4 linked regions of the Lonchura striata genome follow. The protein of the gene in region 3 interacts with the protein of the main gene of each other region in a pairwise test. Links are inferred from orthologs where the notes say so. Each region holds a gene or a part of one and is shown on either strand. Other genes may lie near its edges.

Region 1 (7,296 bases), on a different chromosome or scaffold from region 3:
AACCCATCCCTGCATTTCCTGACCCCAAAAACCTCCTGGGAAGGGCAGCACAAACCCATCCCTGCATTTCCTGACCCCAAAAAGCTCCTGGGCTCTGGGAAGGGCAGCACAAACCCATCCCTGCATTTCCTGACCCCAAAAACCTCCTGGGAAGGGCAGCACAAACCCATCCCTGCATTTCCTGACCCCAAAAAGCTCCTGGGCTCTGGGAAGGGCAGCACAAATCCATCCCTGCATTTCCTGACCCCAAAAACTCCTGGGAAGGGCAGCACAAACCCATCCCTGCACTCCCCTGACCCCAAAAACCTCCTGGGAAGGGCAGCACAAACCCATCCCTGCATTTCCTGACCCCAAAACCTCCTGGGAAGGGCAGCACAATCCCATCCCTGCACTCCCCTGACCCCAAAAAGCTCCTGGGCTGTTCCTGCTGCTGGCTGAGCGTGACCCAGGCAGGGCTGGGATGTGGAATTGTGGAATGGGTGAGCTTGGAAAAGAGCTTTAGGGCCACTGAGTCCAGCCCAGGTTCACCACCGTGTCCCCAAGTGCCACATCCACCTGGTTTTTGAACACTTCAGGGATGGCGACTCCATTGGGCAGCCTGTTCCAATGCCTGAGCACCTTTTCCATGGAAAAAATTTGCTTTAATATCAGATTTCAGCCTCACTGAGGCCGTTTCCTCCCTCCAGCCCTGCTGCTGGCACCCCCAGATTCCCTCAGGATCCCCCCCGGAGCAGCAGCCTGTCCTGCCCACTGCCTGGGAAGATCTGCAGGATTTTAGGATTTCCAGCAGTTTGTACAAAACCCAAAGGGTGCAAACCAAGCTGTTACAACACCAGGAGGTCCCTGTGAATTCCAGGCTGGATGAAACCCTGGACCAGGCAGGGACTTCCCACCCTGTTCCCAGCTCCAAGCTGCTGCTGCTGTTTCTCCCCCTTCCTCAGGATGTTTTCTCCAGCTTTCTTTATTTTTTTTTTTTATTTTTTTTTTAGGGAACAGTTTGCTGTGAACAGGCAGAACCTGTTCTGGACACACTCAGAGCTGTTCCCCATCTCCACCATTTGCCAGCACGACTCAGATTATTTTATTTTTTTTTTTTTCCAGGATACTCCAAGCTCTCTCCTGCATGTGGGCTGCCTCACCCAGGGGAGACGTGGGCTTGGAAAAATCACATGGATGGGGCCCACGAGCCAAGCCCTGCTCCCTCTGGATCCTAAACAGGGATCCCAAATCTTTGGGGTCCCTGCAGACCCCACTCCTGGCTCTGATTGCCTTCAATGAAGGACAGACGTGGAACAAAACGTAATATTTTAGGAAAGATCTTCCACATGTTGGGCTTTGGCAGAGTCTGATGGTTTGAAGGGAGCCAAAAAATAACTAATCCTCCCCTCCTTCAGCCAAGGGCTGAGTGGGACCAGAGGGGAGAAAGGGGGGAAAAGAGAAGGAAGGGAGGAAGAGACAAGAAAAAATGGCCAAACTGGAACCAGTGACTCCCAGTTTCCAGCCAGAGCATTTCTAAGTCGTGGACACTGCAAGGGGTGGTAGCACCTCTGGAAGAATTTGTAATTCCTCCAAAAAATGGTTTCATCTGGGGCTTAAAATGATATTTTGGGGCTTAGGAACGTGTTAGTCCTGAATCACCTCCTGACGCCACCACAGCACATCCAGGCCAGCAAAATCCTCCCACTCCCAGTCCCCAGCATGACCTTTCCCCGTGGAAGTTGAGGAAAAACAGCATAAAAACCACCCCACGACGGGTTCAGTGGGAAAGGAGGGTGGAGGATGACCTCAGGAATTTGTTCTTTTTGCTTTGCTGGGTAAATAAAACGGATTTGGGGAAACGGAGCCGAGGAAGGAGGCGACACATGTCGCACACAGGGGTGGGATGAACTGAAAGGGTTTAAGCTCAGCGATGGAAAACACCATCCGTGCCAAATTTATCTGGAATTGAAAGCAGGGGCAGGAAAGCAGCAGGAGCAGAGGGGGAATTTGCGATTCCTGAACCCTTCCCAAAACGCATCCACAAAACCTCCCAGCGGCGGACGGGAGGCGGTGGGAAGGAGAATTCTGCTGGGGAGGCTTGGGAATGGCCATTGCTTCCTCTGAGGGAGGAAAAAGGAGTTTGTGAAGCCTCTTGGAGGCCCGTTCCCACACGGAATTATGGAATTGTGGAGCAGCTGATGGAAAATCCCATTCCTCCGTCCGGGGCTGCTCCAAGCCCGGCGCTGGGCGCTCCCAGGGCTGAGCTCCAAGGGCACCGCACCAACTCCTCGAGCCTGGCTGCGATTCCCGAACCTCTGGAGCTTTTCCCAGCCCTTTTCCCTCCCGCTCCAGCCGCTCTGCAGGAACCGGGAGCTTCCCGAGGCCGCCGCCGGGGTTACCGGGGTTACCGGGGCCGCTGCTCCCGGCGCTTCCTCCGCCTCTCCCGGCCGGTTTAAGGCTGGATCCGTCCCGGTTGTGCGGGCGGGTTTTGGGGAGGGGGAAACACCCCCAGTGACCCCCAGGTGTCACCGCCGCGAAGCCGATTCCCTGCCCGTGTCCCCTCCCCGGTGCCACCGGGAGAACGGCTCCCCGCACCGAGCCCCGCCCGGGGGTCCCGGCTCCGCTCACGGCCCGCACCGAGCCCCGGGATCACACCGAGAACCGGGAGGTACGAGCCCGGGATCCCGGGGGGTGCCAGGCTGGGCACCGGCGGGTACCGGGGGATGCCCGGCGGGACCAGCACCGGGATAACGGCGGGGAGCGCGCAGCGCCGGGGCAGCAGCGGCCGGGATGGGTTCTCCGGACCGGTAAGGGATGATCGGCCCGGCCGCAGCGCAGCGGCGGCGGGAGCGGGCGCGCGGTGCCGGTGTCTCACCTGGGTCGCTTTGTAGAACTGCTTCTTCAGCCCCGCCACCGACATGGTGCCGGTGCCGGTGCCTGGCCCGGTCTGCGGGCGGCGGGACCTGGCGCTGGGGGCGGCGGGAGCCTCGGGAGCCTCAGGACGCTCCGCCCGTCCCAGCCCGGCCCGGCCCGTCCCCGCCGCCGCTTCCGCCGCCGCCCCCGGCCGCCGCCACCAGCGAGCGGCGCGGCCGGAGCGCCGCGCGGGGCCGGCGCGCCCCCTGCCGGCCGGGCGGAGCCGAGAGAGCCGTTCTGTCGCGACACGCGCGACGGGCGCTCGTGGCGGGGAACGGCGGTGGCGCAGCCGTGGATTTCTCGTGACGGACGAAGCACCGCCCGCCGGGAGCGGACCGGGTGCGCCGCACGGGGACGGCGGTGCCGGGACCCCCGCTATAGTAATGGGGCGACAGAGCTCCAAATGGAAAACTACAGCTCCCAGCATCCCTCGCGACAGCGGCGCGCTTATTGGCCGCTGGTCCCGCCGCCATTTCGCGCGGTGGCTCGATGCCCGTAGTAGCGCGAGGGGCGGCAGTGCTGGCTCCACCCTCTCCTCCCGGTGCTGCGGACAGGCTCCTCCGGCCCGGGACCGGCCCGCCGCAGCGCCGTTCCCGCCCGGTGAGCGGGCATCCCTCGGGCCCAGCCCCGGCACCCAGCGGCGCCCCGCCGGCCCTTTACAAAACCGCCCAATCAGCGCCCGCAGCGCGCCGGACCGACACCCCCCTCCGCCAATCAGCGGCGCTGACGGCGGCGACCAACCGAGAGGCGAGGCGCCGCGGGGGAGCGTGGCCGGGCGGGTCACGTGGGGCGCGCTCCGCCAATCAGCGGCGCGGGACGCGGGGTCGCCCCGGCTCCCGCCAAGTACGAGCGGGACGGGCCGGGCGGGACCGGGCCCGGAGCCGCGGGCGCTGCGCGGGCCGCGCCGCCTCACGGGCCGGCCGGCACCGCCGCCAGCCGCGCCGGCCGCCGCCGCAGGTAGGGCGCAGCCCGCGGGGCGCGGCGCGGCCGGGGCGCGAGGTGTTTCCGGCGGCGGTTGGGCCGCGGGGGTGCGCGGGGCCTGCCCCGGGTAACAAAGGAGGTGCCGGAGCTGCCGCCGCGCCCCGGGGCTGGGCCCCGGCCCGCCCCGCAGCCTCGCTCGGGGAGTCACGGACCGGTTTGGGTGGGGAGGGATCCGAAAGCTCGTCCTGCCGTGGGTAGGGACGCTGTGTGCTGCGCCGGGGTGATGCAGCCTGGCCCTGGGCACTGCCAGGGGCAGCCGCAGCTGCTCTGGGCTCGCTGTGCCAGGGCCTGGCCGCCCTCACAGGGAGGAATTTCCTCCTCGCTTCTCCTCGGGGCCTCCTGGGGACGTTCCTGCTCTGCCCAGCCAGGAGGAGGCTGCGGCTGCTGGGAGCTGGTGGCTCGGGGGTGACAGTGGGACCCCTTTGTCCTCCCTCGCCGGCCCTGGGAGAGCTGCTGGGCTCGGCCTCAGCTGTCTCAGAGAAAGCCCCGGGTGCTGATTTGTTGTTTTCTCCCGTAGCCATGGAGTGCAGAGACAAAGCTGCTGTTCCTCCACGGAAGCTCGTCCAAGGTAAGGGAGTGTCTCTCATCCAGCACGGTTTTAGCAAGAACATCTCAGATGTGATTTTGTGGAATACATTGGCTGCACAAATGGGTTTTATGGGATTGTTTTGGGATTGGCTTGGCTGTGATTAAAGCATCTCTAAGTGGCTTATCTCAGTCTTATTCTTAAAAATGAATGAAACCCTTTGTCACCTCGTGGCTCTAACCTGGTGTTGTTGTTGCAGCTCGGCTGCCCTTCAAGCGCCTCAATCCTGTGCCAAAGGAAAAACTCGATGTGAATCCAGAGGTCAAAAAAGTCAAGAGCTCCCCGAGTGCTTTTGTTCCCAGCAAGGATCCCTCCCTGGATGCCTCAGGTGCCTCCCTGGACGATGTGGAGAATGACTGCCAGCTGAGCTCAGATGGGAATTTGCCTCCAAAACTCATGAATGGAAAAGGTCCATTGGACCATTTTATCCAGAAAAACCCAGGAGGTGACACGAGTGACCCCGGGGATGTTCCTGACCTCTCCAAGGGCTCTGCCCACGGACTCGGGGATGGCACGGAGCAGGAGGCTGTGGATTCTAGAGCTGCTGTCAGCAATGGCACCATAGGAAAGGAGCTGAGCTGCCTGAGCTCCTCGCAGAGCAGCCCAACAGGTGACTCCACGCAGACTGAGGGGCCCTGCGCAGCTGCAGCCAAGGCAGAGCAGGATTTGGGAGCTGGGAGCCAGCCCTGCTCCGGCCTCACGGCCTGCAAGGACGTGGCAGGCAGGAAGGGCACTCCAGGTGAACTGAAGGATGTGCTTTTTGAGGGGAAGGTGCCCGTGGTGCTGCTGGAGGACATCATGAGCCTGAAATCCCCCCAGGTGGCCTCTCTGGATGGCAGCACCGCCTCGGAGAGCGAGGCCCTAGAGTCGTCCCACGAGGGAGACTCGGGACTGACCAACTCCTCACTGAGCTCCGGGAGCTCCCCCGAGCTCCTGGCACAGACCAAGGGCAGCAGCATTCCTCTGGCTGCCTCCACACCTGCCAGGAAGGTTGGTCTGCTCTGGTTTGGGGTGCAAGTTGCTGTGGTGCAACGTTTGGGTTGCTGGGATTGTGGGGAGGAGGTTGAGTGGGGCAGTGAGGAGCGTTGGGAAGGTGGTGGTGGTTGATTACTGATTTGTTGCCCTTTGGAGTCTTTAAATCCTGCAGCTCAAGGGTTTGATTCTCTCTGCTTCTGGCTGCTGCTGGATTTACATTTCTTTAATGGAATACCCACTTGACACTTGGTGTTTTGGGAGCAGCAGTTTTGTACTTTAGGTGTTTTTTCCCAAGCTCTGTTTCATCCCCCTCCGAGCTGCTGGGATTCCTGTGAGGATGTTCCCCCAGCACAGCCAGTGCAGATGTTTTTTCCAGCTCTGAATTTCCTGCAGCTGCCATGGAAAAGCCCTGGCACAGATTTCCCAGAGCAGCTGCCCTGCCTCATCCCTGGCAGTGCCCAAGGCCAGGCTGGGTGGGGATTGGAGCAGCCTGGCACAGTGGAAATGCCCCATGGATGGGCTCTAAGGGCCCTCCCAACCCAAAGCATTCTGATTCTATGAAAAACCTCTGGATGAGGGGGTTTTTGTTCACCTGAGTTTCAGTTTAGCAGCTCTGCTTCAGCAGGAGGCCCCCAAACACTCTGATTTTTGGGGCAGTTTGGACAGAGAAGCTTCCAAGAGCAGCAGCACCACCACGGGGATGGTTCTCCCAGTCCTTTCGTTGTGTCTATCAAGTCAAGCGATCAATTCTTCCTCTCTGAAAACTCTCAGTCTTCCACCCCTAAAATAAACAGACTCAAGCAGGCATGAAGTATTTCCAGTGTAGCAGAACAACAAAAAGCAATCTTGGTGTAACCCAGTACTGCCAGTGGGGCTGGATTTGCTCGTCTGCTGCTCCCCAAAATGAGGGGCTGCACCCCAAGCTGTGCAGCTGCGAGTCCTGGCAGGTTTGTTTTCCTGGGAGGAAGCAGCTCTGAGGAGCTGAAGCCCTCACTTGACAGAACTCCTGTTTTATGGCAGCTAAATATAGAAAATAAAGCAGTTGGGCTGTGTTAGCCTGTTAATCACAATTTCACAATGTGATGCTGTGAATGGCAGGAGGAGGAGGGGGGGATCCAGTCAATCAAGTCACAGTGTGCTGAAATATTGACAATCTTTAACCAGTCTATGAGCAATGATCTTAAGCATAAACCACCTTTTTCTTTCCCCCATAAATAAAAGAAAAACGGGAAGTGTGCCCTGTTTGGAATTTAGGGTCAGTGAGCTGTTCCTGGTGGAAGATCAAGTGGACTGTGATGGCAAGAAGAAATTGTAAAAATGTGGAAAACACTCCTTGTATTCATAAAATTACAGCTAAATACTAAATATCACAGCAAGATAGGTGGAGGCCAAGAAAAAAAAAAACCCAAACAAACCCAATTTTAGCTGGAAGGAAGCGAGTTTGCCATATTGAAATGTCCCCTGTGGTTCAGAGCAGCTCCCCTGGGTGCTGTGCACGTGGTGTTCCCTTGCTGAGGGGACCTGAGGGGTTTGTTCATGGGAGCAGGAGCCCTGGGATGGGAATGGGGAGATTGGAAATTCCCAAGTTTTGTCCTCATTCCCTGCTCTGGGGGAATTTGGAGTGACTGGCTGTGATCTGCAGGAGCGGCCCGGTGTCACTCAGGCTGGGAAGGCAGGAGCAGGATCTCCTCTAAAACTTGCATTTTGTAATTCCAGGTACCTCAGAAATTCCACAGAAGTTCAGCAGAGAAGGAGAAGCTGAGATTGCAAAGAGTAAGGCATTTCCCTGACACCCAAACCTCCCCTGAGGAGCCGACCAAGGCCTTTGCCTTTTATCTCAGCCCAGCTGGAACATCTCTTTT
Region 2 (6,821 bases), on a different chromosome or scaffold from region 3:
GGTGCCCAGGCTGAAGTTCTGCCCAGGTCAGGCGAAGCAAAAGGAGCCCGGCGCTCCGGGGCAGCGGCGGGGCCCCAGCCCGGCGCTCCGGGGCCGGGAGCTCGCAGCCCTCGCAAGCCCATCCTGGGGAGCCCTCTAGCGAGAGCAGCGCCCGCCCGAGCCCGCCGGGCTCCCGGGGCCGCCGCTGTTCCCGGGACGTGTTTCGGGGCGCTGGCACACCTAGGGGTTACGCCGGGATGCTTTGGGATGCTCCCGCACCTCGGGAACGCCCGGGACGCTCCAGATGCTGCCGCACGCAGGCGATGCAGGTCCCTGACCAATGGAATAGGTTGGAATAAAACGCAGCAGCAGTAAAATGCTCGTGAAACACCTTGAACCTCCTCTCCTGGAGGAGATAAATGCTATGTGGATAAGGTGCTTATTACAGGCTGTGGGGAGATTTACACAGCAGTGAAATATGGATTTGTGTTTTTTCCGTGCGCTGATCTCTGGGCTGTCGCCACCATCCCCTGCTGTCCTCCTGCCCCATCCTGGCATTGCCTGCAGGGAGCCAGGCCCTGGTCCTGGTCCTGGCAGGGCAGTGAAAGGCCCCACTGCAGAGGAGCAGAAAGGCAGGAGTGGAAAAGAGAAATGAAACCCCACCAAAGATCTGTTTCTAAGCTAGAAAAGTCAGCACTGGCTGCTGTGCCCAGAAAAGCTTAAAAGCCAGAAATAGGTGTTCTCCTGCCTAATGAAAGGGCTGAGAGGGAAAATTCCAGGTGCATGCCTTCCTCTGGCCTGGGGCACTGCAGCTCCAAACGCGGCTGTGTGATTCCTGTTCCGCAGCGTTATTCCTTGAGCCCTTCCTGGGAACCAAGGTGCGGGGACACTGAGAGAAATTGTGCACGCTGTGCTTTTGGGGTCAGGCAGAGGCACTGCTGCCAGACAGCCAGAAGGAAATTCATCCCCGGTGTGAAGGGAAGGTCCATCTGGATGAGATCTGTTATCCCTGGATGCAGCTGGCTCCCTGCAAGGATAAACATGAAAAGCTAAGCAAGGATTTGCTTCTTTTTGCAGCTTCTGTGATGACAGAGCTCTTCTAGTTCCAAAATATTTGGGGCTCCACCTGTTCTCTGTGCAGCAGGGGCCGCTGCTGTCCCCTCCTGGAAAGTCCAGGCAGCGTGAGAAGCGTGGGTGGGATTTTAGGCAGTTCAGCACAGCCACTGCCAGAGACGTCCATGGGCTGCACATCCCCGGTCCCTGAGCCGCTGTGTGTGTGCAGGGCTTGGCACAGTGAGTCCTGTGACAGCAGTGAGGGAGGTGACAGCGGTGCCAAGGACAGCCCGTCCAGCTGCTGCCTGTGTGGGCTGCATCTCTCTGCGAGGATGGAAACTGCTGGCAGGTGTTTTAAAACAGGTCAGCATCCTCCCTGCTCTGCAGAAATGTGTTTGCTGACTGTGCCAAGCAGCGTTTGGCAGGCAGAGCCTCCAGTGTGACTGACAAAGTCAGGTTATCTCCTCGGTGGTGATTTGCAGCCAGTGCTGCTGCCAGGCTGGGTCAGGTGCCAAGCTGGAAAATGCCACTCGAGGCATTTTCTTGATTGCTCATCAGGAACAGCAGGTGGAAGCAGGCTCTGCCCCTGCACTGCTCTGGTATCTTCGTGCCCCAGGGCCCTGCAAGTCAGGAGCTCTGCAGCCGGCATGGTTCAGTCCTGCTGATCCCGTTCCTGCCGGCTCCTTCCCCGGGTGCTGGCTGGGACTGGGGCTCCTCGCTGGAGGCACAAGGACAGGTCCTGATCATTTCCTGCACTCGTGTGCCCCAGTTCCCTCCTGCTCAGCCTGTCACACGCAGCTCCTTCCCTCTGCAGCGGAGGTGGCTCGTCCCTGCTGCTGTGCCAGTGCTGCTGCTGCTCGGATGCACTCGGCTTTCTCCTTCCCCTGGCAGAGCTGCTCAGCTGCTCACGGCGGTGCCGTCACCGCTGCTGCTCCTCGGGTTCAGTGGGAGGTGGGAAGGGGAAGCGGGAGCAGGAGGAGGATGAGGTCAGGCTGCAGCGAGCTGCTGCAGCGCGGCTCATGCTGAAGATCTGATCTAAGATTCATCTGCAGAAATCGGCTCTGCCGCTTTGGAGAGGGGAAGTAGGCTGTGCTCTGCTCACGGCAGCCATGGGCAACAGGATGTTGAGCTACTGCTTTTGCTTCAGACTCATGGTTTTTGGCTAAGCTTCAATATGAGGCACAAAGTCCCCTCTTGCTCAGTGTCCTCTACACGGCAGTAAGGGATTGTGCAGGGTCCCTTGTCCCCAGGCCCTGGGGATGTGGGGGCCAACATGGTGCAGGGGCTGAGGTGTTCCCTGGGCCTCTCCTGCCACTGACCTGTGGTGGGACCTGGCAGCACCTCAGCTTTGGTTCACCCAGAGAAGTCTTTGGGGAAGCTTAGAAGTATTGTGGAAAGGAGTAAGAGATTTTCTTTTCAAGAGGATGGGCAGTAAAAGCCCACAGGAATGACACATATATCTAATAAGGACACCAACAGAGGGAAGCCTGGAGAAAGGATCCCTGCAGGGAGGTTATTTGAGATGCTCAGCGGTGAGTACTGAGCCCTTTGAAGCTTCGACAGAGGCTGGTGTCAGAGGCAACCAGACCAGATGGACAGGTCTGCTCTGGCCCGGGGCCCCTCTGTCCATGCAGAGGCATTCCCAACTCCCAGCGCTGGCTGCTGATTCACAGGGAAGCCGTGGGCTCAGCCTGCCATGGGAGCTTTGGTGTGGTCAGCGAGGGCCAGCAGCTCTTCTCTGCAGTGGGCCGGGCTGGCTTCACAGCAGGACAGTTGTCTGCCATTCCCGAGGCCATCTGCTGCTGGGACCGGGGTAAAGCAGTCAGGGTTCCAGGGAGCTGCCAATGTCCGGAGCCAGCAGTGCCACTGCCCATGGCGGATCTGCTGCCAGAGCCCTGGACATTCCTCACAGCGCTGTGGCCGCGGCATGGTGTCAGTAATGTTATCCTCCTCTCTCTAGCAAGCGTGTGGGAGGTGATGAATTTGGGAGTGGGAGCCCTTGTTAGGGGAAAAGTTCCTGAGGGAAAGTTCCCGAGGGAGGCCAGCAAGGTTGATTTCTGTGGGAACTGCTGGCTGTTCTTTTTAAACAGCAATAGTTTAATAAGTAAATAAACTTGCTGCCACGGAAGGATATAGCATCAGCCAGGGCTGTTGAGGCCAGTATTTCCTTGGAAAATGGAAAGGACAGGTGTTTCCCTCCTCTCTGCCCCTGCCTCCTGCGCTCGGCTCCTCAGCTCTGGAAAGCCCCTTTCCTTGGGCAAGGCTGCCCAGGGGGGCGAGCCTTCCCGGTGGGACCGAGTCTTCCTGGGTGAAGTGAGAATTCCTGGGAGCTGCCTGCCCCCCAGGGCAGCTCCCCGCCCGCGTGGGGTCTTCTCGGGCACGTCCAGAGTGGAAAGAATTCGTGTCCTGCCGGCTCTGTGACGGCACAGGTGCAACCAAGTAACTGCGGGATGAAGCGGCGGGGATCTGGTTTCACAGTTCCCTGCCCTCTCACGCGGGGGCTCCCTGTGGCGGCGGTGGGGCGAGGCAGGGCGCCGCGAGGGGTGACAGCGATGTGCCCGGCCCCGCCTTGGGGCAGCAATCGGCGAATTTGGGAGTTCGGATAGGAAGAGCGGCGGCCGTGCCCCCCGGCCGGGAGGGGCGGCCAGCCGGGCTGCCCCGCGTCCCTCCCCGCGGCCGGGGGCTCCGGGCGGCGGCGGGGGCGCCGGGCCGGCCCCTCCCGGCGGGCGGCGCCGGGGGCGGGCGCGGGGCGGGCGGCCCGAGCGGAGCGGAGCGGAGCGGAGCGGGGCGCGATGGGGGCGGCGGCGCGGCCGCAGTGAGCCCGGCGGGCAGCGCGGCGGGGCCGATGGCGTTCAGCGCCTGGCAGATCCTCTCGCCGGTGCAGTGGGCCCGCTGGACCTGGTCGGCGGTGCGGGGCGGGGGCAGCCCCGAGGAGGGGGACGCTGCTGCCGAGGAGGATGGTGAGGAGGAGGACCGGGACCCGCCGGCGGGGGGCTCGGCCCTCGGCTTCAGGCAAGTCGCCCGCGGCCCCTTCCCCGCCCGCCCTCCCGCGGCGCCCGCACCCATGCGGGGCTGCGGGCGCGTCCTCCCCGGCCTCTCCCCGCCGCCCCTCGCTCCCCGCTCGCTGCCTGCCTGCCGGGGATCCCGCACCGCGCCGGGCTGGGGGCCGGGGCTGCTTCCCGCAGGGTGCTGGGCGGCGCAGGGCCGGAGCGGCGGGGGATGCTGCGGGGCTGCATGTCCTTGGAGGCCCGTGCCGTGTGCTCAGCCCGGGAACGAAGCCCCGCCGCAGGGCTGGGGCGCACAGGGCGCTGCTGACGAGGATGTTTCACCTGCTCTCCCTTTTCCGTTTGCTAGCATGTCCCGCTGGACAGGAGCGAGTGGCTGCCCCGGATGCCCACGGCCAGCCTGCGGCCTGGCTGGACGTGTAGGCGCTGTGGAGGATTTCAGAGGTAGCCTTGAAAGCAGTAATTCCTCACTCTTTTCCCCCCCTCGGCAGCTCGGACTCCACTGATAATTTTGAGACCCCTGAAGCAGAAACACCAACCTGCTCGCCACTCAAGGAGTTCTGCGAGCCGCCGGGATTGCCGGAGTCTGAGGACCGGACCCAAGGTAAACAGCCAGCGTGCACCTTCTGCTCTTGGTGCTCTGCTCCGCTGCCACAAAGGCAGGGTGGCGTCAAGGAGTAAAATTCTCTGACTTTGAGTAATGCCTGGCGCACTTTTAGTGGTTAATGGCCTGGACAGTTCAAATGCCAGGGCTGGGCTGGGCGCTCCACAAAGAGCTGTGAGGGGCTGATTGGGAGGAATCCGAGGGTGCTGTTGAATTTTTGTCAGTTAAACGTTCCTCTGAGACTTCCTCTGCAGCCTGGGGGCTGCCCTGACTGCTACTGGCTGGTGGGACCTTTCTCATCCCAGGTTCTTGCCCAGGAGTGGCAGGATGCCCAGTTTGTGTCCCCCAGGCTGCTCAGTGGTAGGGATTTCATTGCACAGGCCATTTTTCCTTGGAGTTAGGTGCCAGGTGTCCTCACTGAGTAGCTGCTGTTAAAGATGCAAGAGCTCAATGCTGTTAAACCCCATTTTTTGAGAAATTGCAGGAGATCTGCTCTAACTGCATGGCATTTCCTTTGCTGGTGGGTCTTGAGCTGTTTTGCACGTTTATCCCTGTGTCCCACACTGCTGCTGCTCCCTGTTAGCCCATGGCCTTCTGAGGACCAGCTCCCTGCTGTATCCTTACCCTCCTCCTCAGGGGTTTGTGCTGGTGTCCGTGGCTGATCCTGGTGTTTATCTCTGGTTTTGTGCTGCTGGGAGGAAGCTTTGGAGCTCTGGCACTGCTGCAGCAGCTCACGGGAGGTTATCGGGGCAGGGCAGGGACGAGACCTCCCCTTGCATCTGCTCTCAGTAGGGCAGGGTGGCTGGGCAGTGGCAGGGTGTTTGTGAGCCCTGGGGTGTGTGAGCAGCCTCTCCAAGGCACAGGGCTGTTTGTGGTGGGTCAGGCAGTCCTGGACAGGCCGTCCTGAGCATTCCCTGCCCTCTCTTGCCCCTCACTGCTGCAGACCCTGGTATGTGATGTGCAATGTTGTGCAGCAGCAGTGGCTGGGAACTTTTTGTGGGGCTGGTTTCAGAGCACATGGGCTCAGTCCAGACTGTGGACCCTTCTGTGCAGAAGTCCAGGCACAGGATGCTGTGGCTCTCAATCTCCTGTGGTGTTATTCCTCTTTGGGGTGGATCTGGGGCTCATCCATCCCTGTGGAAAACTTGTGTTTGTTTGCTGTGATGGAGGGAGTGCTCTGTTCATGCTTCCAATAATCACAGCTCTTGGAATAATCCTTTTAGAAGGGATGATAGAGACATCCTTACTTTGGGGATAATGCCTAGGAAGGGGGGAAGAAATAAAGGCTTTCCTAGCAGGTAGGAAGATCATTTCTGGCACAGCTTAGGGAAGCGCATTGCCTCAGACTCCAGGGTGTCACTGTTCCCCTGTGTGCCTGTGCCCCTTGTCCTGGGATGAGCAGCTCCCGCTCAGCAGTGAGGGAGTATCTGCTCCTGCACACAAAGCTCCCAGTGTTCCAGAGACGGGGGCATGATCTCCAGCAAAAGCTGTTTTTCTGTGCTGGCTGGCAGAGAGTGGGATGCTGGGGCCAGCAGAGCCAAACTGCGGTGCCACCACACTTGGCTCCGGCCCTTCCCTGCCCCTGTCTCTGGCTGTGTCTGTTCCTCTGGGCCGGTGGAGAGAAGGATCGTCCAGGTGCAGATGGCTCTGTGCTGTGCAGAGGCTCCCTGGGCTGTTACACCACCAGTGCAAGCCGTGTGTTAAGGCCTCGTGTTTGCGTGCTGCTGCTGCACAGCCGCCCAAGCCCCTGGGTCTGGCTGCGGCCCGGGAGCAGCAGTGGCAGGGAGGCAGTCGTGGCATGGCTGCGTGTCAGCACCTCCCCAGGGACTGCAGGGCTGCCTGGGGCAGTGCCAGAGCTGCAGCTGGGCAGAGCCAGCACCCCTGGCCTTGAGGGACAGCGAGGAGTGGGCACTGTCCGCTGTGCAGTTGCAGTCTCACCCTGCCCTGGGAATAAATAGGGTGAGGAATGACAGAAGCTTTGGCTCCAGGGCTGGCTGCTCCACGCACAGCCAAGAGGTGACCTGGGTGTGTTAAACTCTGCCCTTGGGGACAAAAATTCAGCCCTGGAGGGGGCTGCAGTGAGGGTTTGTGCCCACTCAGAATCAGTTTCCTCTTGTGGTCTCGGATGATGGGACTAATTCTATCCCATTCTTGCTCGAGTTATCTCCAGTCATCTGCAC
Region 3 (7,356 bases):
AGCAAGAAAATAACTGGGGTAAATCCTCACACACATGATATATTTGCAGCCACAGATGGGGGCTGAAATACAATCCAGGGACATCCCTCCCAAATCCTCCACCACTGGCCAAACCCCCACCTTTTCGGAGGAAGGGGGAGATGCTGTGATCCATCAAGGTGGGGAGCATGGTCTCATAGTTGGCAGCAGGGTTCTTCTTCATCTCTTGGAAGGAGGTGTGGTGCAGGATGCTCTCCACTGTTCTCTCTGACAACTCTTTACCCAGGAACTGCAAGATCTTCTGCACCTCCTGCCGTGGGTCCTGCAGGGTGACTGATATGAGCAGGCTGCCAAAAAAGTGGGAAAGTGGGGGTGGGGGGGGAGGGGGCAACCAGGGTTCCTTCCCCTCCATCCCACCCTCACCTTCTTCATGTCCTCATAGAAGAGGTAGAGTATCTTCTTCTCCCGCTTCTTCTCCCACCATCCACGCACGTGGTCATACCAGGATCCGTAGGGCACTGTGGGATATGGTCAAGGGATTAGCTGAAAAGAGGGGTAGCGGGGGATGTCCTTCCCACTGGCATGGCAGGGTGGGCATGCTGTGGCTCAGCTCACACCTTTGCCGGCCATGAAGTTCTCCAAGAACTCAGCCTTTGTGCCAGGGTCGTGGTGTATCTTGGCCATCTGGTGGAAGTAGTAGTACGAGATGACAACATCCTTGGGGTTGCGGGCCATGTAGATAATCTGGAGAGAGCCAAGGATGTGTTTGGGAGGTACAGAGTAGTGCCTCCTTCCCACCAACCCAGATGGGGAGACAGGGAGCACCTGCCATGTTACCTTGCAGTCCTTCTCCCAGAAGGAGGTTGGGAGGAGCTGGACTGGGAGATGGGTCTTTACCAGCCGCGGGGATGGGGTGTTCTCCAGCTGATCAACACCTGTGGCACAGGGGACTTAGATGTTTGAGCCCCAGCACCCGCACCCTCATGCTGGCTCAGTTCCCTCTCTACCCAAGCCAGGCAGCCAGGCTGGGGAAGCTCACCACACAGACTCTTGGAGACCTTCAACTCCAAGAAGGGCACACGGTTGTAGATGGCATCCCGTCGGCACTTCTCCACATCGCCATTGTGGTAGATCATGTCCATGATCTCGCTCAGCCACGTTGTGCCTGCCACAGAGGGACAGCATTGCAGAGGCTGGTGTCACCCCATGCCCCTGGCACCCTTCCCCAGGACCACTCACCTGATTTGGGGTAAGTGGAGATGAGCAGGTCATCTGGACGTGCTTGGAAAGCCTTCACCTGAGGCCAGCCCTCGATGAAGCTCTTGTAGAGGGGAATGCCATGAAGGCTTCCCAGCTCCTGCCTGATTGCATCTTCCTGCTCCATGGCTGACAGTGGGTCTACACAGCACTGGCTGTCTTCCCTGCTGGTAGCCTTCACAACCTCTGAACTGGCTGGCACCTGTGCCAGGACTGTGCCTGGAGTAGTACTGGATCCTGTGCCAAGACTGTGCTTGGGGCAGTGCCCCATCAGGCGAAGTCCAGCCCAAATCACATGTGACAGAGGTATTGCCAGAGCCACGGGAGTGTGCCCTGATCCCTGGTAGGATACTTTGGTAATGTGGATGCTGGCTATGCACCAAGCCCAAGCCATGAGGGGCTGGGAATGGAGCCCAGCATCACCTCTCCTCCCACATGGCTGAACTTCTCCCCCAGCTATAGCCCCTTTAATGAGTGCCACGGGGTTGTGGAGGTACAGAGACAGCTCTTCCACCCAGGGCCCCCATTGCAGGCAGCCATACCTCTCAGGATTCCATGTGCTCTGGTGGCCATGAGCCCTGGCACCTCCACCCTCCTGCCACACCCAAGCTGTAAAGGTTAATGAGAGATGGCTCAGCTACGGAGCACAGCTATGGACCTGGCTGAGGGTGCTGCTAGCAAGGGTAGCCCCCCTCTCTGCCCTCCTGAGTGCTCCTTTGATGCCTCTTGTAGGAAAGGGATGAATAAGCTGATCTGCTCCATCCTGGATGATCTGATCCAGCAGGTTGTACAGTACAGGAACCCACCATGATGGAGCAGGTGCTGCTTTTGCTCCAGGAGATCGAGGAGAAGCAGAAGCCAAGTGGTGCCTGGCCCAGGCAGATGGGGTCTCTGGGAAAGGAGGCACCAGTGCGGGACAGAGCATCTGGACCATCTGCAGAAATACAGACTCACTACTCTGGCCTTCTGTATCCAATGAGGAAGATGGAAGAGAGTAAACGTGTCTGTTACCCTGACAAAAAAATACATGCAACATTTTCATCTGATGATGAGGAAATAACATCATGATCTTTACTTAAAATTGAAATACAGATGATGGACAGGGTTGGCAAACTGCTACCAAAACGGTGCTATATATGGTGGCCAAAGTTCCAGGAAAAGTCTGGCAGACTTACATGGGATGGAAACATACAGGGCAATCCCCAAAACAGAGAACTGGGAAAAGATGATTCTTTACCTCCTTCAACTTCCCCTGAATCTGCTAGACCTCATGGTGGAGAGGACAATCACACACAAGTAACTATCCCATTTGATCCAATTCAGGTGGTTGATTTGCAAGAGAATTTTGGCCATAAACTAGGTGATACTGAAATCCAGCAACTGGAATCCTATCAGTGCAGATACAATAATGGCTCATACATTCAGATTCCAGCTGACTCTCATCAACAATTAATTGCTAGCACCATTGAAATGCTCCAGGATAACATCTCTTTGGCTCTTGGTTGTATTCAAGCTAGTTGTGGGTGACAGCTGCCATCACATGGGAAGGTGAAGACAGTGCTCCCTTCCCCTTAAGGGTGGGATGCCACAGTGGGCTGCAATGCCCCCACAGCTCCAGCACACAGTGAGATCCCCCGACACAGCCAGAAACCTATCATGGCTGAAGCCCCGTGCCCAGCACCCCTCCTCAAGTGCTCCAGCTTTACAAGTGCAGTTACAAGGGAAAGCACTTTGGGGTCTGGACCTGTGACAGGTGGATTTATGGGGATGGCTATTAGCTCTCCCATTATGCTGTTTGGGGGATAAATGGATCAAAACCCTGCTCTTAGCTGGCTCATTGCTCTTTATTCCTGAACTATGTTTCTCATCCATCCCAGTGGGGCTTGGTGACCATCTCAGATCCCTCCCTTGTTTCTCATCCCTCAAAAATATCTGGGGGTGGTAGGCAGGAATGCTATCTGTAGCCCAGCGGGATGCTTTGATAACCAGCTCTCAGTCCACTGCCCGGAGGAAACGTTCATTGAGAAAAAGGATCTGCCCATGGGGCAGGACACGGTCCAGGAGGCCATCAGCGGCATCTGGACGGAGCAGGACATCAGCGCCAGGGCCAAGGAGGCGCAGGGAGAGGAGCAGGCGGGGAGCCAGGCGCCGCAGGGTGATCTCAGCCAACGACAGATTCTCCTGAGGTTCACAAACCAAGGCGAAGGCAAGGGCCAGCACCGATAACCAGACTACTGTCACCCGCTCAGGGAATGGGTCTCCAGGGGGCATCTGGAAAAGACCCCCTGGAGCATCTTGGAGTGACATCGGCTCATCGGGTAGCTGGGGAAGTTGTGGGGAGGACGGGCGCTCCAAGGATGACTGAAGCAGTTGACACTGGGAGGCCACTTGCCTGGAAGAGAAACGGGGGACCCTCGTGTTAAGGACCCCCACCTCATCCCGGGACAGTGACCTCTCTGTTGGGGGAACAGTGTCCCAGGATCCCCAGAAAGGGAGGATCCCATGAATGGGGGAGTGGGGGGCATGGTCCTGGGGTTCTCGCCGAGCCCTGTCCCCCGAAAGGGGGGCTGCCACACGCTCTCCTCAGGAATGGAAGGTGTCCCACAGTCAAGAGGTGTCCCAGCCCTGGGGCCAGGCAAAGCCCAAGAGCCCGCCCATCAAACAAAGGGCGTATCACGGCTGCGGGGATCCCAGGGACACGGACGGCACACGGTGGCGGTGTCGCACCGCGCCCAGCCACCCCGGAAGGAGATTCCCGCGGGGGGGATGTCCCGGCGTACCTGGCCACGGCCAGCGGCTGCTGCTTGCGGCGGAGGCGCTGCGGGGCCGCGGGGCCGGTGCCGGCGGGTCCCGAAGGAGCGCGCGGACAGCACGCGGCAGGGGGCGGGGCCACCGGCGCCAGCGGCGCCAGGCGCGCACCGTGGCGGCCCCGCGCGCCGGAAGCGGCGGCGCCGCCTCGGACGGAGCGGCCCTGGCGGCGGGGCGGGGCACCGGGGCGGGGTGCGGGCCGCGCGTCGCGATTGGCCAAGGCTGGCGGGCAGCGAGAGCTGATTGGCGGGCGGAGGGCGGTGGGCGGGGAAAGGGCGCGGGGCTCGGCCGAGGCGGGGGCGCTGCCCCGGCGCGTCCCCCCGGGAGCCGTGGCCTTGTCCCTCCCTGCTCCTGCTCCCGTCCCGGGATGGCTGCGTGCGAGATGGGCTGGACACGCCTGGGGGAGGACGTGTGGCCCCCGGTGGCTCAGGGTGATATGGCCAGGGCCAGCATGGAAAGGTGCTTGTCTGGAGTGGGGCATACGGAGAAGTGTGACTGGCACAGGGGACATGGAAGCGCCTGTGGCCAGAGGGCCGTGGAGTGGGACATGTTTGGGTGGAGACGTGAGACTCTTCCATGAGACCTTTCCAGCCATGGAAAACTTGTTTTCTGCCTCAAGTGATTTCAGCGGTAAAAATGTTTTTTGACAAATTCCTTATGGCTGTGGCTGGTTAATCCATGGGTTGAAGGTGGGGGTGGGAGGGTGTTTCTGCCATGTTCGGGGCATGTTTGGGAATGTGATATCCCAGCTATGGTGTCATATTCAAACTACTGTGTCCTTATTTCAGCTATAATGTTACATTCAAACTACAGTGTCCTTATTCTAGCTCCGGTATCCATGCCAGGCATGGTGTCCGAAAGGAATAAGACAAATGTGTCTTTAGAAACAGACCTCAATCTGCTTGTAGATAGAGCTAGGAACTTACAGATAGGGAAGTAACAGAAGAAACTATTAGTTCTAAAAAATGTTACTAATCAACACGGAATGTTGCTTAGCCAAGGCCATGTTAAATTCCTGAACCTAGAGAAAAGGAACAAAGACTTAATACCTTTACTTCTTTATTTTACATAACAAAAGGGGCCTGCGTATCAGAGGGGGGCATAGAGGAGGCAATTTGGGAAGTCTGTACCTTCCAAGTAACTCAGCCATCGGGAAGGAGGAAGAGGGTGATGCGGCCAGGAACTTAGGACAAAAAGGGGGCTGAGTCCCCCAACAATCTGGGAGACCCGATGGGAAATTGCCATGGGCCTCTCCCTCTATTCAAATAAAGCCACGCGACTCCTCTGTCCCTCTTTTGGACACAAGCCTCTGACATCGTGGATTCACGTTCCTAACGGCGTCCCTCGCGGAGCTGTCTCCCAGGAGTGGGTGTGCAGCGTTGTCCTCTCGCAGCCTTGCTGCAGCGCACGGCCAGAGCCGCGGCTCGCTGCCGCCGCCGGGGCTGCGCTGCTGCGCCGCGCCCGCCAGGCGGCGCCCGGCGCGGGGCAGTGCGCGGCGCGGGCGCGGAGCCTCTGAGGGGCCGCGCCTGCGGAGGAGCTGCGCGGAGCTGGCGGCTGCCGCTCCTTCGGGATTCCAGCTCGGGACAGGCTCTCTTTAGTTTCTGCTGCACCTCATTTGCAGCTCCAGGTGGTTTGTTTCTGTCCCCAGTTGGTCTCAGGTTCAGCTCATAGTATTTGTTCGTGCCTCCAGCATGTTTTAGGCTCCAATTTGGTTCACTTTCCCCGGCTTCTTTCCGGCTTCAGCTTATTTGCAGCTCCCGTTTGTTTCCGTGTTTGGTTGTGGCTCCAGTTCATTTCTGCTCCGGCTCGTTACTGCTTGTGCTTTTTCAAATGATCTTGGTTTTTGACAGGGCCACAAATCAATCACTATCGTAACTTAAATATGAAAAGACATAATTGTACGTTGTCTAAAGATGGACTAAACTTCTTGGACCAATGCAACTGGACCTTCAGCCTCCAGTGGGATTCCCCACAGGTGCCCCAGTACTGGATCCCACTGTCAGGAAAATCCACAAACGACAGAAGTTTATGTCGATACAGGAGAGACAGAGGAGTCCTGCAACTTTATTTGAATAAAGGGAGAGAGGCCCTCACACAAGCTCGCGGGGTTTTCTCGCTCAAGGTTTCGGAGGGCACAGCATCCGTCCTCAACTCCCAGCTGCAGGTTGCCCTCTTCCTTTCTCCATTGGCTGAGGTACTCGGAAGGTACAGCCTTCCCAAACTGCCTACCACATATTCCCCCTTGTACCTACCATTTTTCCCCAAAGTTGAGAAATTGAGGTTTGTACAGACCCACTTGTTTGTTTCAGGAGCTAAGCTGTCTGGTCTCTGCAACAAACCTGCTGCCCAAAGTTAGTACAGACATTAAGACCCGTTTCAAATATGTTAATACCAGTACTGTCACTCATCAAATTGTAAAGACATTAGCTTTCCTCTTACCACCTTGATGAATAATGGGAGTGAAGTTCCAAACAAGGTAAAGAACAAAGTGGTTAAGCAATGAAAGCAACAGTCACAGGAATGTGGAAGAGAGAAAATTTATGACCTAAGTTCTTGAACGGGGAAAACACAGAAAGATAACACTCTTCTAGTCCAGAATGTGTAATGATGAACTAAAAAAATCCCCAGTTTTGACTGGTTCTGTACTGTGAACTTGCCCTAGGGATGAACTTTTGCTCCTTATAATAGTAAAAACCACACCCCAGCTCAGGCATCTCCCCCTACAAAAAGACCACCATGCGCCAGTAACAACTTAAGCCAAGTAGTAACTTAAGTAAGACTTAATAGCCCAAGATTGTGCCTCGGGGTGCTGCCTCTGGGATTTACCACCCAGCACCTGTTTCTGTGCAGAACAGTAAATCAAATTATATGGTTAGAGAAATCTCATTTTTTACACTGACTGAGTTTGGTTGAGTATCTGATCCTGTGAGTTAACCTAGAGAAGCTCTCACCCTTTTCACCACACTGTTAATTCTCTCAGTGATTTTGATACAGGGAGATGATCCAATAAATGTTTGCACATTATTCTAGCAGGGAAGATACATTTTCCTTGAAAATAGAGCCCTGCAGTCTCAGACTGTGTTCAGTGGCTGTTGCTAAATCAAATTATTTTTCCTTCTTGTCATTACCACCCATTCTTACCTGCTACAAGATAACTGCTGCCCCCTCCAGCAATATCAGGGACCTATAGGGCAAGTCAGTTCAGCTATAGGTAATTTCAAAGTAGTTTATGCTGTGGTGACTTCATTGGTTTTGTTCTTTAAGCATTATATGCTAGCCTTACGCAGAATCCAGTACATAAAGGGGCTACAA
Region 4 (7,539 bases), on a different chromosome or scaffold from region 3:
TATCCTCCTTGAGGACTGGGAAGATGTTCTTGAATTCTCCCAAACAGCCCAGCTGTAGGCCACTTCATATTGATATCTCGAAAAGAAATCAAAATCGCAATTAAGCACAAAAAAATGTAAGACAATCTAAGTAGGTAACTCCAATCAAAAGGCAAGTTAATGTGTCATATAACCCAGAAGGATAAAAACAGTTAGAGTAACCTAACTAAAGTAGGAGCAAGAATTCCTGACAGTTAATATCACAGCCTAGAAACAGGTGTCACCACCCAGCAACCCAGTAGCAGCAGTGAAGTTTCCTACTGCTGTGGCTTTTGATATGTATTTTCTACCCTTGAAGAATTACGTGCAGCAGCCACTGAGAGACAATTGTAGACTGCTATTCAAACTTAAAGCCATACATTTCACTTAAAGAACCAAAAGGACTAAATATATACTGCATGACAATATTTAGCGAAAATGTCTTTTTATTATTTCACTGTAGTAACACACCACAAAAGCCATGTTTCCCTATCCTTTTAAGTAAAAGTTGAAGTGTGAGTAATGGAGCCAAACAACTTGCTTTGAACAATTTAACTGGAGATAAGAGTCAACGGAATTTTTTCTGCGCAACCAGCGTGGAGAGGGATTCATACTCACTTTACCAGAACAGGTCAGCTAAGCAACAGCAGGAGCTCCAGAATGTGAGCTGCCAATTGTACAAACAAACAAAATAAAACCCAAAAACAAACAAAAAAAAAACCCAAAAAAACAAAACAAACAAAAAAAAACCAACAAAAAAACAAACAACCTTCATTGTGGAACACTGCTGTTTGAACAACAGGTTCAAATGCTATATGCCAGCAGTGCAACAAATAAAAGATGTTAAAAAGAAAGCAAAAATAATTGACACAATGCATTCCTTTAATTGCTGCCATTTTTTTTGAACAAAACCTGCAAGAATTACCTATTACGTTTCAGATACAAGATGTTGTACCAGGTACTCCTCTAATGTTAGCAGAAAGAAAGCATCTTATTCCCCTTAAAAATCTTCATAATCTCTGCTTAGAGTTAAAAATGGACTCGGAAACAGAAAAGAAAAATTACAAGCAAGGCTTGCTTCAGAAGTTGTACATACATATATCCCAAAAGGTTAAAGGACTATGGAAGACAAAAAACCACGGGGTAGGCTGCTGAAACATAAGGTAAGAACTATAATCCAAAAAAGCTATGAAGTTGCAACACACATATTTATGATGTATGTAAACTGTATGGAAGACATATTTTAAAAGTCTTCAGAAAAAAAAAAAAAAGCAGAGTAATATTTTAAGAGGCAACAGAACAATCCAACAAGTTGCACACCAAAACAATGCAGAATCCCCTCCTCCTAAAGCACTCCATATTTAAATTACTACACTATTGTTGAACAAGTATCTTTCAAATATATTATTTAAAGCGTCTCAAAAATCCCAGAACCATAAATATACATGTATCTTAATGTCTCCCCCCAAATCTGCCCTAAAATGTCAACATTTAATAGGTTATTATTTAGTTCATCTTTAAAACCTACCTATTAATCCGTGTTTCAACATCCAGAAAAAGGGAGTTTTATCTGCATTAACGATCTAAGAGAAACTTCAACTGATACTTGTTTCTTCATACTATACTACACTGCATACCTTAAATCACAAGCATAACAACTATTCAAAGACTTTATGTATTCTTAAATATTGATTTTGCTGCTCTTCGTTTTCACGTCGAAAGAGAAGAGATAGCAACTACTAAGAAGCCCTTAAAGCCCTAAACCGCCGCCTTGTAGTAACTCGACTAAACAAAACTCAGCCTTACAAAACTTATTTCCCTTCCCAAACTATACATGTTCCATAAATTCCTTTCTATAAGCCTTCTGCAATGTGATCCAACTATCTAAGGAGTACAGCAACCAAATAAATGAACGGCGCATACCCATGCAAGTACTCTCATCTCATCTCCAGCATACCAGGTATTTGTTGAATGTGGAATGAAATATTAATGGAAGAAGAGGCCCAAGAAGACTAAACATTCACGACATAGCTTAAATAAAAAGAAAACGCTAGCAATAATTCCTCAACTTCTCCAAAAGCAGGCAATAAGTGAGCTTACTTTCACGGGCAGAATCGCTATTTAATACACAGAAAACCCTCCACAGAATTTATCGGCCACCCATGAGAGCCACTTCTGGAGACTGCCCCGTCGGCTGAGGAACGGCAGCGCACTCAGCCCCTCCGCTCCCACCGACACTCACGCACACACAGCCCCACACCCAGCGCAGCTCCCACCGACACTCACGCACACACAGCCCCACACCCAGCGCAGCTCCCACCGACACTCACGCACACACAGCCCCACACCCAGCGCAGCTCCCACCGACACTCACGCACACACAGCCCCACACCCAGCGCAGCTCGCAGACGTAATTTCACACACGGAGGACTGCGACTACAACCCGGCCGGAGGGGCGGGGAGGAAAAGGCTCGGCTAGCGACGAAAAGAGCCCAGCTCGCCCCTCATCCAGGCAGCTGCAGCGGCGTGAAGACGGAAAACGAAGCTTTTTTTTTTGCTTTAATTTTTTTTTTTCCTATTAAATATGAAGGCAGCCAGACAGGGCGGGCACCCCCCGCGCTCACCAGCCCCTCCTCCCCCGGCGGGGCTGCAGGGCCGGGGCTCTCACCGTCCCGCCGGTGCCCGCTCGCTCCCGGCCGCCGCCCCGGGCCGGCGGCGCCGGGCAGGCGCTGCCCCCGCTCGCCCCGAGGCGCCTGCCCCGGCTCTGCCCGCGGGCGGCGGCGGCGCGGCGCGGCGCCCCGCTCACCTTCCAGCAGCCGGGTGATGAGGCTGTCCACGTTCAGCTCCCCGTCCGCCATTTTGTGGCCACCAGACTCGGTCCCGGGCGGGGAGAGGGCGGGGTGGAGGGCGCTCCACAGAGAAGGAGGAGGAGCAGGGAGCGGCGGCCGCAGCGACAGTGGCTCCCCCCCACCCCCCTCCGGCGGTCCCCGGCGGCCGCCCGGCTTCTCCCGCTCCCTCGCAGCTAAATGGGAGAACGCGGGCACCGCTCCTCCCCGCGCCTCCTCCCCTCCTCAGCAGCCGCCACGGCGCATGTGCCGCCTCGCCCGCCGCGGCCGCCCCGCGCCCCGGCAGCGCGCAGGCGCGGCGGGCTCGGCGGCGCAGGCGCGGAGCGGGCGCGGCCGTGAGGGGGGAGAGCGAGCGCGGGGCCGCGCTCAGCCGGGTCACCCCTCGCCGCTGGCACCGCAGCCCTGCCAGCTCGCAGCCTGTTAAAAATAATTTTTAAAAAGTCTGTCATAACTGGTGCAGCGCGCTGTGCTCTTCGCAGCGCTCTTCTAACGCAGCTGTCAGAGAAAACTCTAGTTCGTGACACTCATAGTTTCACTGCGGCTGGAGATGCTTAGAGGACTTTTTTGGTGATTTCTGGAACTTTTTTTTTTTTTTTTTTTTTTTTTTTTTTTGAGATGAGCTCTCTAAAGACATGTTTACATACTTCTGTCAGCAGATGCTTGCCTTGGATGGACAGAGAAGTGCTTTAAAATTTAGGTGGTGAAAACCCTCTGTGAACCGGGAGAGCAGATAAATACATGTATGTTGACAAAGTAACAAAGTGCAGATGTTCTAGGAAAAACAGACCTCTCCTTTATATACCTAAATATAGATGTTGGTGTAGAAACTCGAACTTTTCCATCAGTCCCTACAAGCAAGCAAAATGCTGCCACCTTATATAATGTTGAAATCCAATATTTATCTCCTGATTAGAAGAAAATGAGTATGAGCAAAACAAAAGCAATTAGGACAAGGTGGGGCCATGATTAGGTATCAGATGTTGCTAAGTGTCCAGACAGGTGAAAGAATGCTCTTTTGAAATGCCTACACAGGTGGGCAGGTTATACGGAAATAAAATTTCAGCTCATCTGCTCATGACAGGATGTACATCTATCCTTTCTTGTTTTTCCAATTCTGCTGGTATTGGAAAACTAAATTAAAAAAAAAAAAAAAACACTAAAACGTTTTTCTTTCATTTTTTCTTTAAACTAGGAAAAACAATTATTCCACTTTTTGAAAGTTCATCCTTATCCCAACTACTTCATTGCTGCCAAGACTAATAGGTCTGCAGTCCCTCTTGAGCTTTTAGGAATTGTCCCAGTTTCATTTCACATAACTGATCTGCCCTGGAGGCTATTTTAAGCCATCACAACATCAGGTTCAGACAGTTCAGACATAATAATATATTATCGCAGAACATTCTGCATTGATAATTAAACAGGGATATGAAATTATCTTCCACCGTGGCATAAAAATATAATTAAGGCATCTTCCCAAACTCCGTAGTGTGATAAACTCTTCCAGGTACGCTGAACAAAACAATCCTCTAACAACTGTTTTTACTAGGCATGTCAGCATGTTCCAGAAACAATTCAGCAGCATATCATAACAACAAAATATTTTAATATAAGCAGAGATGCTATGAAAAAGAACAAGCTGCAAAAAATAGCTCATTCTTTCCTTGTAGATTCTGTGCCAGTGTCTTTTCTTATTGGGAGCACGGCTGACATGCTTTATTGGGTGACAGCTACTGCCCAGCTGTACCTGGGCTGTCACTTGGGTGGAAGGTCCCCTCACTGTGCTGCATAACCCTGTAAAGTTTGCAGCCCCCTTTCTTTGTAGCTTGAGCAGGGACACAAATAAGTGGGTTTCTCCCTCAGTGGGTTAAAACTTAACATATCCCATTGACATAATCCAAGTACAGTAAACAGAATTAAAAGATCAGAGAATGAGGCTTATTGTCTTCTGCAGTACAGAAAGAAATAGTCAATGAAAGCACTTTCTGTGATCAAGGGTAGATGTTCAGTAATTTCAGCATTACACCATGCACAGATACAGGCCAAAGACAGCTAAGTGGTGATTCAAGTACAAGGGGGAACTGGACTGATGCCTTGTCAAAAGCCCAGTAATAATCCTCACCTTTCTAAATTGTCTTTCAGTTATTTTGAAATTCCTCTCACGTCCACCAAGATGGTTTTTCTTCTAACTTTCCCCTTCTTGGTCTCAGTGCCATTTACCATAAATACCTCATGTGTCAACTTTCCTTATCCACATGCTCTCTCAAAATGTCCTTTCATTTGCACTGTTCTTCTGCTCAGTTTGTCAGATCTGAAAGACAAAAATTTCCAAAGAAATTGGCAAAACAACTATGTGTTAGTAAATGTCATTCCCTCAACTGTGACTGTGTAGACGCGAGTTCTCACTTTAGGCTGCTGTTGCTGGGAATTTGAGAGAGTTGCTTCCCCAGCTACAGAGCACTGACTACTCCTTCCTGGTAACCTCATGTTGGTTCAGACAGAACTTCTGCTACATATGCACAAAAGTATATGTAGTGCACATTAAAGTTAGTGCGCTACATATACTTTTGTGTTATTTACTGTGGTGTTGTAACTGTCAAAAACTATCACCCTCCTGGGTCTGTCATCAGTTACCTGGTAGACAGTACATGACAGTATTTTACAGCATTATCCCATCACTGCAGCTCATTTCCATTGTACTTTATCACCTTGGCAAACTGTAACTCAGGGCTGACTGCAGCTCTTGTGTGGATAGGAGGGAGAGGCCAGTAGGAGCCATGTGGTTAGTTTTCCAGTGTGTAATTAAGAGCGTATCCTCCCTGAGTGGCAATAGCTAAACCACTGCTGTCTCCTCAGTTCCCTTTTCCAGTTTCTTACTTGAAATAGAAATTAGTGATCCAATTGAAAGTGTATTTTCTTAGGAGAGTTTGTTTACAAAAATATTGACAGATCTCTTTAGTCAGAAATTATAAGAAACTGTATTAAGGTAATCTCAAAATAAAACCTGCAGATAACTTATCCCTGTTTTGTCCAAAAAGCTTAGATTAAGTGATAGAAGAAGAAAAGCCAACAGATCCCACTCTGTAGTACTTTATGACCCTTTTTTGTTTCTCAGTATTTGCACTAAAACTGGGTAAATTGTTGGGTTTGGTTAGAACATTTTAAGATGTAAAAATAAAATATTCTCCTACACTGAACTAAACCCAAGATTTTCTCAACCTTCCTCACAAATTAAGGAGAGTCCCAAACTAGCCAGCGGTTTGCATTTGGTGGCACATACCAAGGATCTGGAAAACTCTTCTCTAAATGCCTGCATCCATACTGATTCTCTTTATATCCCTGCTTGGAACTGCAACACTTTGTGTAAACAATTAAACATCCACTGGCCCAGGCATTCTAGTCTGGGTCCATGTCCAGTGAATGCCCCAGTCATTCAGTGGTAGTGCTGTTTTCTCTCTCTCTTAATATAGTTTTTGTTTGAAGCATGAGGTCTTTGATTGAGACACAAACCCTGTACTCATCAAGGCAATAGTATTTTTTGAAGAACAAGATTGTTTTGTAGGTTAATACTGACCTTTGATTCCTGTGAATGTAGTTATGCCATCATTACCTTTTATGCATATTTAAAAGGCAGGGCAGGGCAGATCTTGATGTTCCCAGGAAACAGATTGTTTATGTCAAAAACCAATGCTGAAACAGTAAAAAAAGATTAGAATAGATATCGTAAGTAAGACCCATATTGAAAAACTAATTTTTTAAAAAATAGCAGCTCCCTCTGCCCTATCCTGACAGCCCCCAGCTGAGTTAGAGTCTGGAAGGCAGTAGAGAGCCCCCCCAGAAGCTGCATGCAAAATAGGGACAAGGTGAAGCATAACCAGGGTTTTGTATCACAAGTTACTTAATCTCTCTGTGTCATATTTCAAATGTTTTGTTTTATTTTCTTTAAATTACGTTTATTAGCATGTGATAGAATCTCAATTCCCCTGACAGCCTGTCCTACTGCCCACAAACTATGAGAAATACACAACACTTGCTGAGGTGTTACTCCCCAAGTGAGGAAGGGGGAAGGACTTCTGAAGCAAAACAAGGAAAATAATTTGGGACTGCAAGATCTGCATTTTGCAGGATGTCAATCAAGCTTACTATTCCTCTGCTTTGGAGAGAAAAAAATCTTCTCCTACTGTTTCCCAGGAAGGAACAGCTGCAAGAACTGAAAGTGTCTGCATCTATTTTCCTCAGTAAACATGGGAATATTTAGTTTCAGCAAAACCAGATGGTTTACGCCCTGTGAATATGCTGGCATTTGACACCAGCAGCCAGTTTCACAAAGTGCATGCAGAGAGTGAGAAAGAACTCCTTTAAACTCTGGGACCTGACACAAGGAATAAAAGCTCTGAAGGCAGAAATAACAGATTGACTAAAAACCCAACCTTTATCAAGGGATCTCCAAGTGCTCGCTAAATATCATTAATCAGACTACATAACAGTCCATGAAGTGATTAAATTTTGATACACATTTCTTACACTGAAGGTTACACTTAAAAAGAGAAGGTAAATAAGTTCCTCTGGGTTATGTGGTGAGTCACGGTCTGGTCTCCTGCACGCTATGTCTACGTCTCTTCTCACTAATGTGTCTCCAGTGTGCTGTGTCCTCAGCCATATTCCCAGGACACAATTT

Evidence for each region.
Region 1: the proteins of SH2D4A (region 3) and SH3GL1 interact in binary tests that used the Homo sapiens proteins (3 or more experiments, as listed by UniProt). The two-hybrid records come from large-scale screens. The link is inferred for Lonchura striata from reciprocal best matches to the Homo sapiens genes SH2D4A and SH3GL1.
Region 2: the proteins of SH2D4A (region 3) and TACC1 interact in binary tests that used the Homo sapiens proteins (3 or more experiments, as listed by UniProt). The two-hybrid records come from large-scale screens. The link is inferred for Lonchura striata from reciprocal best matches to the Homo sapiens genes SH2D4A and TACC1.
Region 4: the proteins of SH2D4A (region 3) and PPP1CB interact in binary tests that used the Homo sapiens proteins (3 or more experiments, as listed by UniProt). The two-hybrid records come from large-scale screens. The link is inferred for Lonchura striata from reciprocal best matches to the Homo sapiens genes SH2D4A and PPP1CB.

Annotation. Positions count from the first base shown.
Region 1 is NC_134630.1:6,027,985-6,035,280, reverse strand, and holds the start of SH3GL1 (endophilin-A2), read right to left. Parts: upstream 3,019-7,296; 5' UTR 2,900-3,018; coding exon 2,855-2,899; intron 2,787-2,854; exon of another isoform or gene 2,775-2,786; intron 1-2,774. Other genes in the region: CHAF1A (chromatin assembly factor 1 subunit A), read left to right, coding at 4,393-4,441, 4,659-5,449, 7,151-7,207. UniProt on the Homo sapiens protein: Implicated in endocytosis. May recruit other proteins to membranes with high curvature.
Region 2 is NC_134634.1:4,533,831-4,540,651, forward strand, and holds the start of TACC1 (transforming acidic coiled-coil-containing protein 1), read left to right. Parts: upstream 1-3,808; 5' UTR 3,809-3,877; coding exon 3,878-4,044; intron 4,045-4,528; coding exon 4,529-4,641; intron 4,642-6,821. UniProt on the Homo sapiens protein: Involved in transcription regulation induced by nuclear receptors, including in T3 thyroid hormone and all-trans retinoic acid pathways. Might promote the nuclear localization of the receptors.
Region 3 is NC_134606.1:45,007,191-45,014,546, forward strand, and holds the start of SH2D4A (SH2 domain-containing protein 4A), read left to right. Parts: upstream 1-4,340; 5' UTR 4,341-4,674; intron 4,675-7,356. Other genes in the region: sulfotransferase 1 family member D1, read right to left, coding at 121-301, 403-497, 597-723, 817-914, 1,019-1,144, 1,219-1,630. UniProt on the Homo sapiens protein: Inhibits estrogen-induced cell proliferation by competing with PLCG for binding to ESR1, blocking the effect of estrogen on PLCG and repressing estrogen-induced proliferation. May play a role in T-cell development and function.
Region 4 is NC_134605.1:6,984,137-6,991,675, reverse strand, and holds the start of PPP1CB (serine/threonine-protein phosphatase PP1-beta catalytic subunit), read right to left. Parts: upstream 3,005-7,539; 5' UTR 2,877-3,004; coding exon 2,825-2,876; intron 1-2,824. UniProt on the Homo sapiens protein: Protein phosphatase that associates with over 200 regulatory proteins to form highly specific holoenzymes which dephosphorylate hundreds of biological targets.